Saccharomyces cerevisiae S288C: one gene and its partners. Changing the gene in region 2 together with the main gene of any one other region gives a genetic interaction. Each region holds a gene or a part of one and is shown on either strand. Other genes may lie near its edges.

Region 1 (3,561 bases), on a different chromosome or scaffold from region 2:
GTGGTGCTCCTCCAGCTCCAGAAGCTGAAGGTCCAACTGTCGAAGAAGTTGATTAAGCTTAGCGATCGCCCTGTAAAATATCCGAAAAGTTTTACTTTTGCTTTCCTCTGTATTTTTTAATTTTTTTACGATAAACTAAATCATATAATATTTTATATAGAAATGATAAAAAAAGAATAAGAACAATAATAAAAAAATCAATAATATTATTCAATTGTACTTATGAATAAAAAAAAAAATAATAGTGACTTGAAGACTAGGAATATCGGTCATTTTCCCCTATAAATAAAAAATAAAAAGAGCTCTTTAATAATAAAAACTTGATAATATCAACAGTATACAATGTGTATATACGCCTATTTATTTTACCAAATCTATATTATTAAAACTTTTTTTTATAATTTTCAAAATACCTTTATTCATCTATACCGTCGAAACCAATTTCATTTATTCATAACATTCTAATACTCGTAAAGTTCTATTCGTAAGGGCGTCAAATCCTAGTTTGGTACAGCAGTGTAGATACCGTCTGCAGATAGAGCGCTGGAGATGGCTGGTCTCAATCTGGTAGAGTACCATGGGACACCAGTGATGACTCTAGTGACTTGGTCAGCGGGGATACCGGTCAACATAGTGGTGAAATCACCGTAGTTGAAAACAGCTTCAGCAATTTCAACTGGGTAAGTTTCAGTTGGATGAGCGGCTTGGAACATATAGTATTCAGCCAAATGAGCTCTGATATCAGAGACGTAGACACCTAATTCAACCAGGTTAACTCTTTCGTCAGATGGAGATAAAGTGGTGGTAGCTGGTGCAGCGGCGACACCAGCGGCAATAGCGGCGACACCAGCAGCAATTGAAGTTAATTTGACCATTGTATTTGTTGTTTTTTGGTTGTTGCTTTAGTGATGATGTGAGCTTAGTGAAGAAGAAGGATGAGGATGTACTTCTATTACAGCTGATTAAAAACACCCTATTTATATTAATTTTTCAACTAACAAACTACAGTTTTCTAACCAATATACTGAATACACATCGTAAGTTTCTCCATTGTAGCCAATATGAGATACTATTGTTTCTGAACGACACAAGTTTATTACTTCTCGTTTATGAAAGCACACCTTCTTGTAATGTAATTCTCGCCGTTGCCAAGCAATCGCGCAGGTTTGAACAATGCACGGTACAGTGAATGTTTCTAAGAAACCCTTTACCTTTCATGTAGGTGTGTTGAGTTTCTGCTAGCAGAAGATCCGAAAACAAACTTGGCGTGACTTGGCGTGGACCCTCGTTCAGAAGTCATCACAGTTGCCTTTTTTGGTATATCTTAAACGGTTGCTAGGCAGAAAAGGGGTTCGTTTTTTCAAGGTTAGTAGTCTACACGTTACTAATTACGTGAAGTTTGTGATCTTTAGGGGAGAGAACTTAAAAAAGACACTTTTATGCTGTATATGATGTCCACCGAGGACAATTATGAGCGCTTGTATTCTTTTTCATTCTTCGCTGCTTCGGAACTTCCGTAATAAAGAATTAATGCATCGTTTTATTGGTGCCTCTTCATATGCAAGAAGCCAACACCGGCATCTTAGCAATTTTCTCGTTATCTTCGAGCTCATAAAGTGGACGAACTCAACACATAATTCCTCCCAACTACATCTTGAAACAAGTTTCACTGCAATGTCGCTTCAATGGTAACTCTGTTACCAAAAAGGTTATATTATCATACGAAGGATGCTTTCTGTGCTTAAAATAGATTGCAGCGTACGACGTATAGTCTACTATAGTACTTTTTCAACCAAGTGATTATGTCCATTAGTGTGCAGTTCAGGTATTTGCTCCCAAATCGTATAGAAAAAAATGGTAAAAATAGTGATGGCGAAATGGGTCTTTTACTAAGTACATGCTAAAATATGGCGTGACCGTAATAACAAAAATTCGAGTGCTTTCCCTAAATAAAGTTACTATTTATTCGGGGCATCTAACAAATTTCGACATTAATTCACTACAATTGAGGTAGTACATCTTGGTTGTTCAAAAGTGTATAACAATCGTATGTTCTTTACAGTCCATAAAAAATGCAACTTTGAGGCTACCTTTTTTACCCACAATTAAACTGTCATTTGCACTTGAAGTGTTCGTGCTACTGTTCCTTTGTTCTAAGCCGTCAAATCAAGCTAAGGGCAGAGTTGGAAAACGCGTCACAATACTATAGGGGTTTTCATTACGTTTTACTTTCGGAACGAAAGAAGCAATCCAAACTGCTTAAAAGAAACGTATCTTGATGTCCTGCAAAATTTCAAAAATCAAGAATTTATTGCGTTTGCATCAAAAAACGTAAAAAAATATCTCCGATTAGTTTTTATTACCCACATATTGTACTAAATAATCTCACTCGGTAACAAATACTTTGTATTGTCTTTGATAGGGATAAGTGTTGTCAATTGCCACAGAGGCGGTATGTGACGTGAATATATGCGATAGATAGTTATGATACTAATTTGTCAACAGTTTTTTGTATTTTGAATTTCAAAGTGCACAAACTGAGGATTCTCAGCCTTCCTACGGCATAATCCTTTATAATTATTGTTTTAGCATATATCTGTATCAGGGTCTTTTGGCCTATGCTTTATGAATTGCATACCATTAGTTGTAATTTTTTTTCTGTTTCAAACAGGTAAAGAGGGTGAAAGCCATATATGAATGGGGGACAGATGAACCGCTTGCTGATCTTACTAAGTAATTGTTTAATAAGTGGTAGAATTGGGCACAGGTGTTTGACTGTAGTAAAGTTGGTGGCACGATATGGCCTCCAAATATGCGCGAGTTTTAAAAAATCAGGACATTCATTGTTCAGTAGTACGCTAAAACTTGTAGAACTCTAAGAAATAAACCATTATTCTACTGTGATCTTTAGAATCAAGAACAAAGATGGACAGCCTAAGCTAGTGCTTTGGGTCCAAAAAAAGAAAATAAAGGGGCGAGCTGGGAATTGAACCCAGGGCCTCTCGCATGCTTTGTCTTCCTGTTTAGTCAGGAAGTCGCCCAAAGCGAGAATCATACCACTAGACCACACGCCCTTATTAACTTGTGAACTTGATCCATTATGAACAATCTAGTACTGGGGGTTCGTGGGAATTTTAATCAGGATTGATAATGTAAATGGATAAAGAAACATATAAAAGGAGTACTAATCGTAATATTATTATGTAGAAATAACAGTTCTCTTTTTGTAATTCTTATATCTGTTGGAATAAAAATCCACTATCGTCTATCAACTAATAGTTATAACTATCACTATATTATCATATACGGTGTTAGATGATGACATAGGTTATGAGAAGCTGTCATCGAGGTTAGAGGAAGCTGTAGTGAAAGGATTGATAATGTAATAAGATAATGAAACATATAAAACGGAATGAGGGATAATCGTAATATTAGTATATAGAAATATTGATTCCATTATGAGGATTCGTAGATCCTCGAGGAGAACATCTAGTATATTCTGTATACCTAATATTATAGCCCTTATTAACAATGGAATCCCAACAATTACCTCAAAATTCA
Region 2 (5,571 bases):
TAGCCTTGATGAGGATCAGAAGGAGGTTACACGGATACAATCGAGTTCTGATTCCGAAGATCGTTCACTTTCGTATTCCGGCTCCAGCGATGTCAAGGATAACAATGACGATAACACGGAAGAATTAGATGACCCACAACCGAAAAGGCAGAAACGCTTCCGTGTAGTTCTAGGAGACAGTGACGATGAATAATCTGAACATTTTAACTAGCGGGAACGGCATATGTACGGAACTTTTATGTATGTTTTTAAAAAATTTCCTTTCTATCCTTATTACATTAAGATTTTTAAGCGATAGTAGGATCGGAAATATAAGCACTCGTTTATGATATAAATAGGTCAAGAATTTCGTAAAGTAAAATCAATACATATGTGAATCTTTTTTTTTTTTTTTTTGGGACTGCTATTGGTATTTTTTTAGCGTCACGTTAATCAGCCCAATTATGTGGGGGTTATGCAAGAAGCATTTTCCGAGCAATAAAATTCAAGTGCAGGAGAGAAACAAAGCATTAAAACCAAAGAAGAGTGGCAGCGAACATAAGACAAAGCAACTGTTTCCTGTATTCAATTGCAAGAAGAAGGAAAAAGGGGTAATGATACGGTTTGCGATTCTACGTAATGCTAACACATCTCTACTGTCCGCGAGAAGTATATGCTTATTTACCCAGGCGCCTACCTATTGTCATGTAAGGTTGAATACCTTGAATAAAAGCATTACAACTAAAAGAAATTCATTGACAGAGTCGAAAAGGCATGTCCATGATGGCAAGCATTTTTTTACGACGCCACATCAACAGCAACAGACGAAGTTGGGGGAAATTGAAGAGGGACACAGTCCTAACATAAAAGGAGAGGACTTGAGAAGCATTGGTCAAGCAATAACACATCAGCGAAACAAGCGCCGAAAGCAAATATGGTCCGCCATATTTGGTGGTATATTCGGTGTGATATTAGGATACTCACTAATCTATAGAGTGATATATTTAAAGGAACAAAGTTTCTTACCATTGTTTCCATCATCCAAGATACGTAAACTGAGTACCAGAGATTTGAAAAAGGTTGACGTAAACCAAGTACAGAAGCTTTCTAAATTAAGGGTTTTAGAGATATTATCCGGTCATGACATGATCAAGGAACAATACGGAGTACCATTGCTTGATAAAGATGGCAATTCACCCACGTTAAATGAATTCAGCATGTGGTGCGAAGATCAAGATCCATGTGTAACTGGTATTGTAATGGAGCCAGACGATAAAAGGGATAGTTCGCACACTTGGTATAGAATACCCTTTGTTTGCAAATGGAGGATAACGCATCGGCCAATAAGTATACGGGGAACCATCGACGATTTACTGAACCGCATTGGTTTGGAAACAGCCGATTTATTTGAGATTATATCGCCGGAGAGGGTATACGGGTCGTTCAAGTACGAATACCCACTGCAGGGGGACTCACATGCATTACACCTTTGGTTTCATGGCGAAATCGAACTGGACGATGATTCTTTGATTGTATATAATGGAAAATACCACGTTGATGTTAAATTGCAAGAAATCGACCTCTTCAGACGTGAAAAGAACGGACAACTAATACAGTACGTTCTATACAAAAACGAAGCGGGCGACAAGTAAGAAAAATGTAAATATTTTTATCACAATTATGATTATTATCGTTATTAAACTACTTATTTTCGGTTACGTAGATGAAATAGTGTTATATAAGAATATTTGAGAAAGTAAAACTGATAAATAAATATAATGGAATGAAAAAATAGAGACGAACTGGAAGAAGAGAAAAAAAATTAAAGCACCAAATTTACTACTCTGGGGCCTATAGATGGAATATCAAAGGGGAAGATGAGAAAAGAAATTATACATTTCAGAAACGTCAATAGGGTATCATCATCGTGGCAGTAAGCGGCGTTTTTCCTAAATCAAAAAGGCCAAAGCACCACCAACAGCAGCACCGACGACTCCGGCGTTTAGTAGTTGACCATTTTGAGCGTGCAAAGCAGGAGCAGCGTTACTCGTGGTGTTGGATGCGTTTTGAGCATTTACGCTAGTAGCGAGGCCGAAGACAGAGATGGCAGAAATGAAAACTTGTGATACTTTCATGTTTAAATCGATATTAAATTAGCGTGCTTGCTTGGAGGGCTTTTCAGAATGAAAAAAAAAAGAATGAAGAAAGAATTAACCAAAGAATGGAGGTTATGTGTAAGAAATGGCATTTATATATACATTTATATAAAAATGTATAAACATACTTGCATTATTGATGTCCCATAAGGGGTGAGAAAAGACAAAAATGGAAACAGGGGAAAAGAAGAAGAGTAAAAAAAGGATTATTTTAGGAGAGAAAGGGGATTAGAAGAACATCGGGCATAAACCTTTGAGCATCATCCTTTATTGATGTTTGACACCTTGCGATTGATGAAAAATATTGATGATATTAAGGTATTTCTGATAGCCACTGCCCCGTCCCTTGAAGCGGCCTTCCGTCGAGGCCTTGGCAACCGTGTCTGGGTGTGTGATATATTACATCAGAGGAAATAAAAGCTTGAGCGGCTAAACTCCCTTAGCTCAGGGGTGGTCTGGCCAGGAATTTTCAGTGGCCATTTTTCCTGTTCCGGGTCCGGCCAATCTGTGCCGGTTTTCTCTAGAGGAAAAAAAAAAGCATGCGGGGTAATGATGTAGAAGATATACAAGCGGGTTAAACTACATTAGTTATGAGTGCTAGAAAGCAAGCGAAGGATAATAGAAGAGGGCTATTCTATGTAAGTATGAGGAGACACAAATGGCGGCTTTTCATATTTTCTTCTGCAATTTCATATAGAAAAGGTGGTAGTCGTCCAGATCATAAACAATTTTGTCTAACTTGATGTAGTCGGGCAGTGACTCGTTGATGCTTAGTAGTTTTTGGAAGGATTGGTTCTGATAATTTTTGGTAAAAAAGGTCATCGAGAACTCTCTTGGTTGAAAAACGTTCAGAATATGTAGAAGAACGTCCAAGTTGTCTTGCTTCCCTTGGGAAATGTCAAATACGGGTATGTTACTTTCGAAAGAGGCGTAAGACCAACCCTTTTCCGGAGTCACGTGCAGGGTGTAATAGTATTTTTCAGCGAGAATCATATTGGATGAGTATCCACATGGCGTGAACGCAAATGCATCGTGGTGAAATGATAAATCGGAGTCTTGGGCCGAGTTGACATATATTTCGTCAAGCCTTGTATTTTTAGTCATTTGGTAGCCGAGGTTGTGGCCCTTATCTTCGTTTGGCTCCACGAGAGCGGTTGTGGATGCCTCAGGCCCGCAAACAAACTTACTAGCGCATTCTGGGTCCAGCTCCGTCATCAGTACTTCGAAAGTTTCGTCGTCATCCTCGATGTACTCCTTTCCCTTAGGTGTGGAGCGGTCCGTCTCGGTGACGTACAGGTTCCAGTGGTTGCTCTTGTCATTTCTTCCCACGGAATAACTTTTACCATTGTCGAAAAATTTGTTCAAATAGTCGACTTCGTCAGCCCAGTTTTGATGGATAGCGGCTTGCTTACAGGGGAAAAGGAAACATCGTCTAGAATAAAACACTTTAAATGGTTTGTACTTGCCCCCTTGTGTTGTGCGGAAAGCCCACGATAACTCTTGCTCAACGATCTGGAAAAGCTTTTCGAGACAGAACAATGTGGTTGTAGTACCGCACGTCTTCATCGTCAATTTGTGATCGAAGACGAAGAGGGAAGACTCACTCAACAAAAAGGCATCCAGTTCTTTAGTCTTCTTCATGGAAAGAACTTCGCATTTCACTAATTTCAAAATCTCGATCCATCTATCCATGCCAATATTTCTTAATGTCTTTTCGGTCGTGATGGACTTCTTGTGAGGGAAGAACCAGATTTCCAGCAACTTCTCGGGACCCTCGAACGCATCCGTTGAGTCTAAAGTGGCTGATAGTTCGTGGTCAATGTAGTTGTGGTTAGTCAATTCTTTTATGGTGACAGTCATTCTATGGTCCGCCTATTTGCGTAAGACACTATATGAAAACCTAAAAAATATAAAAAAGAAGCTACAGTACAGTAATTGATTAACCTGGAAGAAAAAAAAGAAAAAAAGAGTTGATGCAAGGAGCGAGCTGTAGCGAATACAATATATACACGTATAGATATGCAGAGATGCTTTTAGTCGATTAGCAAAGTTTATTCGATGCCTAAATACCGGAGAACCGTGTTTGGAATTTTTTTTCTTCGAGTGGAAAAAAGTGAAAATTTCCAAAGTCAATCATTGTGTACGTACGCTGAAATTGGATGCAGAAGAGGTAAAAGGCGAAGGAAAAGAGGGCGAGGGTAAAAAGCCTGATTGCCAAACCATGGTGCCCAATTTATTGGATATTACTACTGATGGAAGGCTACATATCTCTGGCGCTTTCTATCAGCTGTCATCGATTTGAAATTCTTCTAGCCCTAGGAACGCCATTATGGGGCTTATCCGGGTAGCCAGTTGGCGGTTTTAGTTTTTTCACTTCTTGATTTTTTTCTAGTTCGAAGAATTTTTTCCACTGATGATTGAGCTATAAAAGAGCCTGATTAAGATGAAGAGCTCCGATTCTCTTCGTTAACGGAGCATCAAACATGACGTTAGCGTCAAGTAACCTACGATATTTGTGCAACAGACATGATGGAGTACCCTCATGCTTTGGCGCGTGCGCATCTATATAAGGTTAGGGACTGCAAAAGAAGCGGCGAGGCAGCCCACATCAAGTGGAACTACACAGACTTCCTTGTCGCGATACTACGGTCCCAAGAGCAATCCTAACAAGCAATTACATATTCCCCCGCTGAACCTGTACAGTCCACGGATGGTGCAGAAGTTATATGATTTGGGGGAAGACGCTTTTTCACATCTTCTTGCATGATAAGAGTAGTAGTAACTAAGTAATATGATTCAGTCAGTCTCTAGTTAATATAATTAGGCATTACCCTACATTGTGGCGGCCTCTTTTTTATTTCGAATCGGGCCTTCCTTCCACCCCGGCCCCGGTTGCGTCGATCAGAAAATTATATTATGGATGAGGATGATGAAGGTGCTTAACCTTTACAGTCAAACTTTTAATAGTCAACCATTCACAAGGACTAGGAATTTGTCTCTGGAAACAGCTGGTTCCACAAAGAAGTACTTCCACGACATTGCTATATACTTGTGCTGGTATATTTTTCTTTGTTAGTTAAACCCCATTTTTATAAGCGTATCGTTTCGTATAGTGCCGTACTCAAAGATCAAGGATTAAAACGCTATTTCTTTTAAATCTGCTATGTCTGCTGCTCCTGTCCAAGACAAAGACACTCTGTCCAATGCCGAGCGTGCGAAGAACGTCAACGGGTTGCTTCAGGTGCTCATGGACATTAACACTCTGAACGGAGGGAGCTCCGACACTGCTGATAAGATAAGAATTCATGCCAAAAACTTCGAGGCAGCTTTGTTCGCAAAGAGCTCTTCAAAGAAAGAATACATGGACAGCATGAACGAAAAAGTTGCTGTCATGCGCAACACGTACAATACGAGGAAAAACGCCGTTACTGCTGCT
Region 3 (4,919 bases), on a different chromosome or scaffold from region 2:
ATCCAGAATCTCAGAAGGGAGAAACCCAATCGCTAAATCGATATTATCACCCAGAAGTTTCAAATAGGCGATTGTAGAATATACACAGGGACAACCACTCAGTTTATGGCTTCAGTGCGCGCCCAGTTCTGGAGGAAAGCATTATCGAAGTAATAAAACTTTAAAAAAGCTCTCCGCAACTAATGAGGATTGCAGTATCCAGATACCCTTGTTTTCTGCCAAATGAACACTTTTACTATGTCATATAAACAAAAAGTGCCATTTCTTGGTACTGCTTCAGTCTTAGGAATGGTCAATACGTTATTATTACTTAAATATACGATTAATAACATGCTCTGTTGCGTATTTAGTAAGTGTGTAAGGAAACTGTAATATTACCTAACCGGTATCCCACGTGTTTCACGAAGGGCGCTTTTGTTGTTGCAATTATAATCCTAGTTAGGTAAAAAAAAAATACTTAATTCCTATCATCTACTAGATACAAGAAAGACGTCTCTGAATTACACACCGTCTCTCAAATTGACAGATTGCAAATACCATCTCTTAGTCCAAAGTCTTATCCTCTTACCATAGTAGTACATTGGTAAAGCAAATGCAGTAATCCCAAAGTTGATGACAGCTAAAGCAATGTAAGTATTTTCAGTACCAGATGCAGCTAGCCAATCAGAACAGGTAAAGGTGAAAATGCAAGATATCGTGTTGTTAATAATAGCAGTACAAACCATACCTTCCAAAACCATATCGGGGTAACAATCCATTAAATACGCCATCGCAATATCACCAGAACAACCCCATGCAAACCCAACAAAACCCAACCCGACGTATATAGCTTGCCAAGGCCATTGTCTAGCGGTACCGATACCAAACATCAGCAAACCCGCTGGCCCAATAATTGCAGTTGCGATAGAGAAGTATAGTCTAAATTCTGCCTCTAAAATTCCTCTATTGTGACGAGCCATCCAAAGAACAAAGTAGTCACTAACAATGCCAGCACAGATACAACCGATGACTGCTCCAATAAGTGTGGGAACATTCATAATTGCGACACCAAAATCACTATAGTTCCATGGAGGTTCGTAGTAGGCGCTTTCTTGAGTGGTCAAATAAAACGTCAGGAAAACGTCTTGAATACCCCAAAACATACCAGACAACCACACTGGCGGGAATAAGAACATTCTAAGGTTGATCTTTAGATATTTGAAATACTGTTTAAAACCGTAGCCTTTCAAATTAGTAGCTTTGGTTAATATTGCTACTCTTTTTGGGTATGGTTTCAAATGCTCTTTTGAACCATCAATCAATTCGCGAGTCTCAGGTATGGTAACTTCCTCTTCATTGTTAACTTCGAATTCAGCCGTCTCTGAAAGGTCTACACCTTTCTCACCCATGGCTCCAGGAGTTGATAATTTAGCGTCAAGATGACGTTTCCTGCGCGACACGGCCGTATTGTCAGAGTTTTGTAAAGTGGTACCGTCTTCGTATCCCGATTGACAGCTGGTCAAAGGGGTCATATACTGGCCTCTGTCGAAGTACGTTTCTTCGCAGCCAAATATAATAGTTATTAAAAGGCCACCAGATATGATCACTGCGACCCAACCGACCCAACGGAAGTTGGTAAATGCAGATATGTACCCAGCGATCAATGGGCCCAAGAACGTACCGATACTAGTGCACATGATATACACGGTCAATACGGAGCCCAATTGGTGCTGGAAAAAAATGTCGCTCAGGGACAGTTGCACCTGGGCTTCAGCACAGGACTCACTAATACCTACAAACAACTGAGACCATATTGTGTCGCTCGTTCTTTTGGCCAAAGCAAACCAAAGCGCACCAAAGAGACCTAATGTGGTGCAAACTATGTACGTAATCTTCCTGCCATACAAGTTAGCAAATGGAGCCAAGAATAAAGTGGACCAACCAATACCTAGGAAAAGAACACCAGCCCCTGTGTTCATGGAATCGTAGGATATCCCATAAATCTCATTCAATGAGTCTTGAGCAGCACCAGCGTCGTTACTAGTAGCGGCGGTAAACGCAGTTATAAAGGCCATTAGACCAAAATGAGCCAATTTCCTCCAGCTAGACCAGTTCAGTGGATCATTTGGCGAGTATGATGGTTGAGGGATTAGGACGACTCCTGAGGAGGTTTTCTTCAATTTTGATTCGTATATAATACCATTTTCCAAATTTTGGGAAGAATAGATGTTAAATGTGCCAGGAATATAGTCCGGATGATCCCTGTTGGTATATTTGTCCATCTGTTAAAAATTTAAGATTCACACTCGCAAACTTTCTTCTATAGTAGTTCTTTTCTTTATATTCGTTAGAAATGCAAAAGTTGCGAAGCTGTTTTGTTATATCCTGTAGATTGTAATATGATACTTCGATTCTTTCGGATTTAGTGTTTACTTGCTATTCTTCTAGTTTCAAATAAATAAGATAATAAGGGATGTCAACTTGGTAGTAATAGCATGAAATAGTATCGTAAAATTAAGGATGCTAGCGCTTTCGACAACAAAATGGGCTTGTTTTATTTTTGCAGAGGAGGTTCAGTAAATATTACCTCAGAGACTGATACAGATAATTCTTTCTTATTCGACTGCGTATTTATCTTTATCGTTTAGATTGAAGACAATAGACAATTAAATGAATCTATAGAAAGGTTAGGAAATAGTCTAAACTACTATGGTTTGTTAACGGCGAGGTCTTTAGTTTAATTTTCTGTCTGGAAAATAACTTTATCCTAAAAAGAAAATTTTCATCAACTGCAACTTTTTTTGTTATGCTTTTGTTCTCGCTAGGCGAAAGCTCCCTAAAAATATCCGTAGAATTTCATATGACACAACCAGGCCTTGATGTAAACGTCAAACTACACATTTCTCAAAGCTTAGAGAGCTGATGCATGAAATTTTTGCATTGTGTGGTATTATATGTGACTTAAGAAAGTAATTGTACATCATAAGAGAGAAAAATTCTGTTCAGAGAAGAACTATTTGAATATATTTTAAAAGATAAAAAAATGTCTTGGCAAAAATAAGTAAGTAATGAAAAAGAAATTTTCTCGAAGAAAAAAATGAAAAAAATGACTAAGTACTCAATATCCTTGATTTTCTAGTTTTCATTTTCCTCAAAAAAACTTGTCCACATTCATTCTCTGAATCGTTCTTCTTTGGTATATACTATCATGCGAATACGTCTTTTTTCTTTTGATATTAAAATATCTACAGACTATTTTGTGCACCTATAAAATAAATTTTGTCATGACTTGTAATTTTCCCATAATCGGGACTATTTAAGGACCAAAAATACACTTTCGCCCAACTTGCTGCTTGACCAGGACTTTCGATAATCTCCTAATTACACTAGCTAGTTTTTACTTGTTATGGTTTGTGCAGTTGAGATAGCTCAGTAAAATGGCTTTATGTGTTCTGATCTTATAATGAATCGTAATCGAAATCCACATATTTCATTCATACTGACGGAGAATAGGTTAAGCGCTGCTGCTATGGTACCTACTTTTACTCTTTGTGGTGTGCGATTAGTTTTGTAATACAAGGGTACTTCTGGTAATAAATATACAATTATTTTATGAAACTATGATACAGGAGGGCAGAAGTTCTGACGATAGAGCTACAAAAGGTAGTATCGACCTAGGAATTTATAAGGACTGTTTTTCTTTCAACAGCATCTTAGATGCATGTAGGGAAAACAACGATGCTGATAATGCAGAAAACTACTGCATACACTACTGAGGTGTAATTCATGTTTCCTGCAGTAACCGGTAGTGTATATGGGAAAGATAAAAATACCAGGCAGAACAAGGTCCATAGAATACATATAATATGAGGAATCATAGACATACGACGACGGTTAGGCCTGCTGACACAATTTACGTCACTCTCGATTCTATGAATGAATTTTTCCTTTTTAATAACGAACAGGAATATAAAAGAAGGAACTGCGTACGACATTAGTAACAGGGTGATGCATGCAGTGATAATTGCGTTGAAAGCGGTACTAGATCCCATAAATATACAGCCAATTATCGTTACACATATTTGTGACAAAAAATGGGCATATAATGGAGACTTAAACCCAGGTGTCAACACTGCTAGCTTCTTCAAGGATTTGTTTCCCAAGGAACCCTCTTTATAAAATGGTGCGTAACTTTTCCCGAATGATTGGAGGATTCGACTTTGCCAGGTTCCACTTGCAATGCCTGAAACAAAACCTGTTGTGATACACATACATTGCAGGAAGACACTGAGATTCCTATTACCAGTGGCCTGGTAAAATATTTCTACGATAGGTAAAATAGACTCAACGACTGCCGTTTGGTCAGTGATGCAGAAAAACAAACCAACGCAATAAATAAAACTAGTTACAAAGCCCACAATGATGGTAGTGATAATAACTTTGGGAACTAAGAAACGTGACTTACTATAACCCACTTCATCAATCATGTGCGTAGCAGAGTCAATGCCAACAAATGCCCAGATCGGATTGACCAAACCGACAACAAACGCCATTCCAGACGAATTCCAGCCTGTTTGATTATCAAAGCTCCCAAATATATTAGAAGCTTTGGGCCATGGGTCTACGGTGTTGTCAGATCTTGAAACAATACAAATAATGAAAGTCATGGCGAAAGACAATAGAGACGTATAGAGCCCAAACTGAGAGATATAGGGCAACGGAGTTGAATAAATGTTGAAAAGTGTCAAAACGGCATTGATACACTCGTAACCCACAAAAACATGCCAGTGCTTTAACTCGTAGTCCGGATGCAACAACTTATGAATACCGATACAGCTCATTGACAAAGATGAGCAGATACTTGCGGTAGTAAAAATGGCACCGAAATAGTTCAGCAACCCTACAACCATGGAAGAAACCTTTTGAAATTTAGAAGAAAC

What was found. Genes that interact genetically often act in the same process or in processes that back each other up.
Region 1: mutations in SPE2 (region 2) and PAU17 together harm fitness more than expected from each alone (negative genetic interaction), as found in Saccharomyces cerevisiae (2 studies listed by BioGRID).
Region 3: mutations in SPE2 (region 2) and HOL1 together harm fitness more than expected from each alone (negative genetic interaction), as found in Saccharomyces cerevisiae (3 studies listed by BioGRID, with this or other methods).

The regions. Positions count from the first base shown.
Region 1 is NC_001144.5:92,061-95,621, reverse strand, and holds PAU17 (seripauperin PAU17), read right to left. Parts: upstream 876-3,561; coding exon 501-875; downstream 1-500. Other genes in the region: Hsp70 family chaperone SSA2, read left to right, coding at 1-56.
Region 2 is NC_001147.6:229,642-235,212, forward strand, and holds SPE2 (adenosylmethionine decarboxylase SPE2), read right to left. Parts: upstream 3,996-5,571; coding exon 2,805-3,995; downstream 1-2,804. Other genes in the region: ubiquitin-protein ligase PSH1, read left to right, coding at 1-193; AIM39 (Aim39p), read left to right, coding at 444-1,631; DDR2 (Ddr2p), read right to left, coding at 1,929-2,114; GAL11 (Gal11p), read left to right, coding at 5,299-5,571.
Region 3 is NC_001146.8:727,926-732,844, forward strand, and holds HOL1 (Hol1p), read right to left. Parts: upstream 2,262-4,919; coding exon 501-2,261; downstream 1-500. Other genes in the region: BIO5 (Bio5p), read right to left, coding at 3,693-4,919. UniProt on the Saccharomyces cerevisiae protein: Seems to be involved in the uptake of several cations and of histidinol.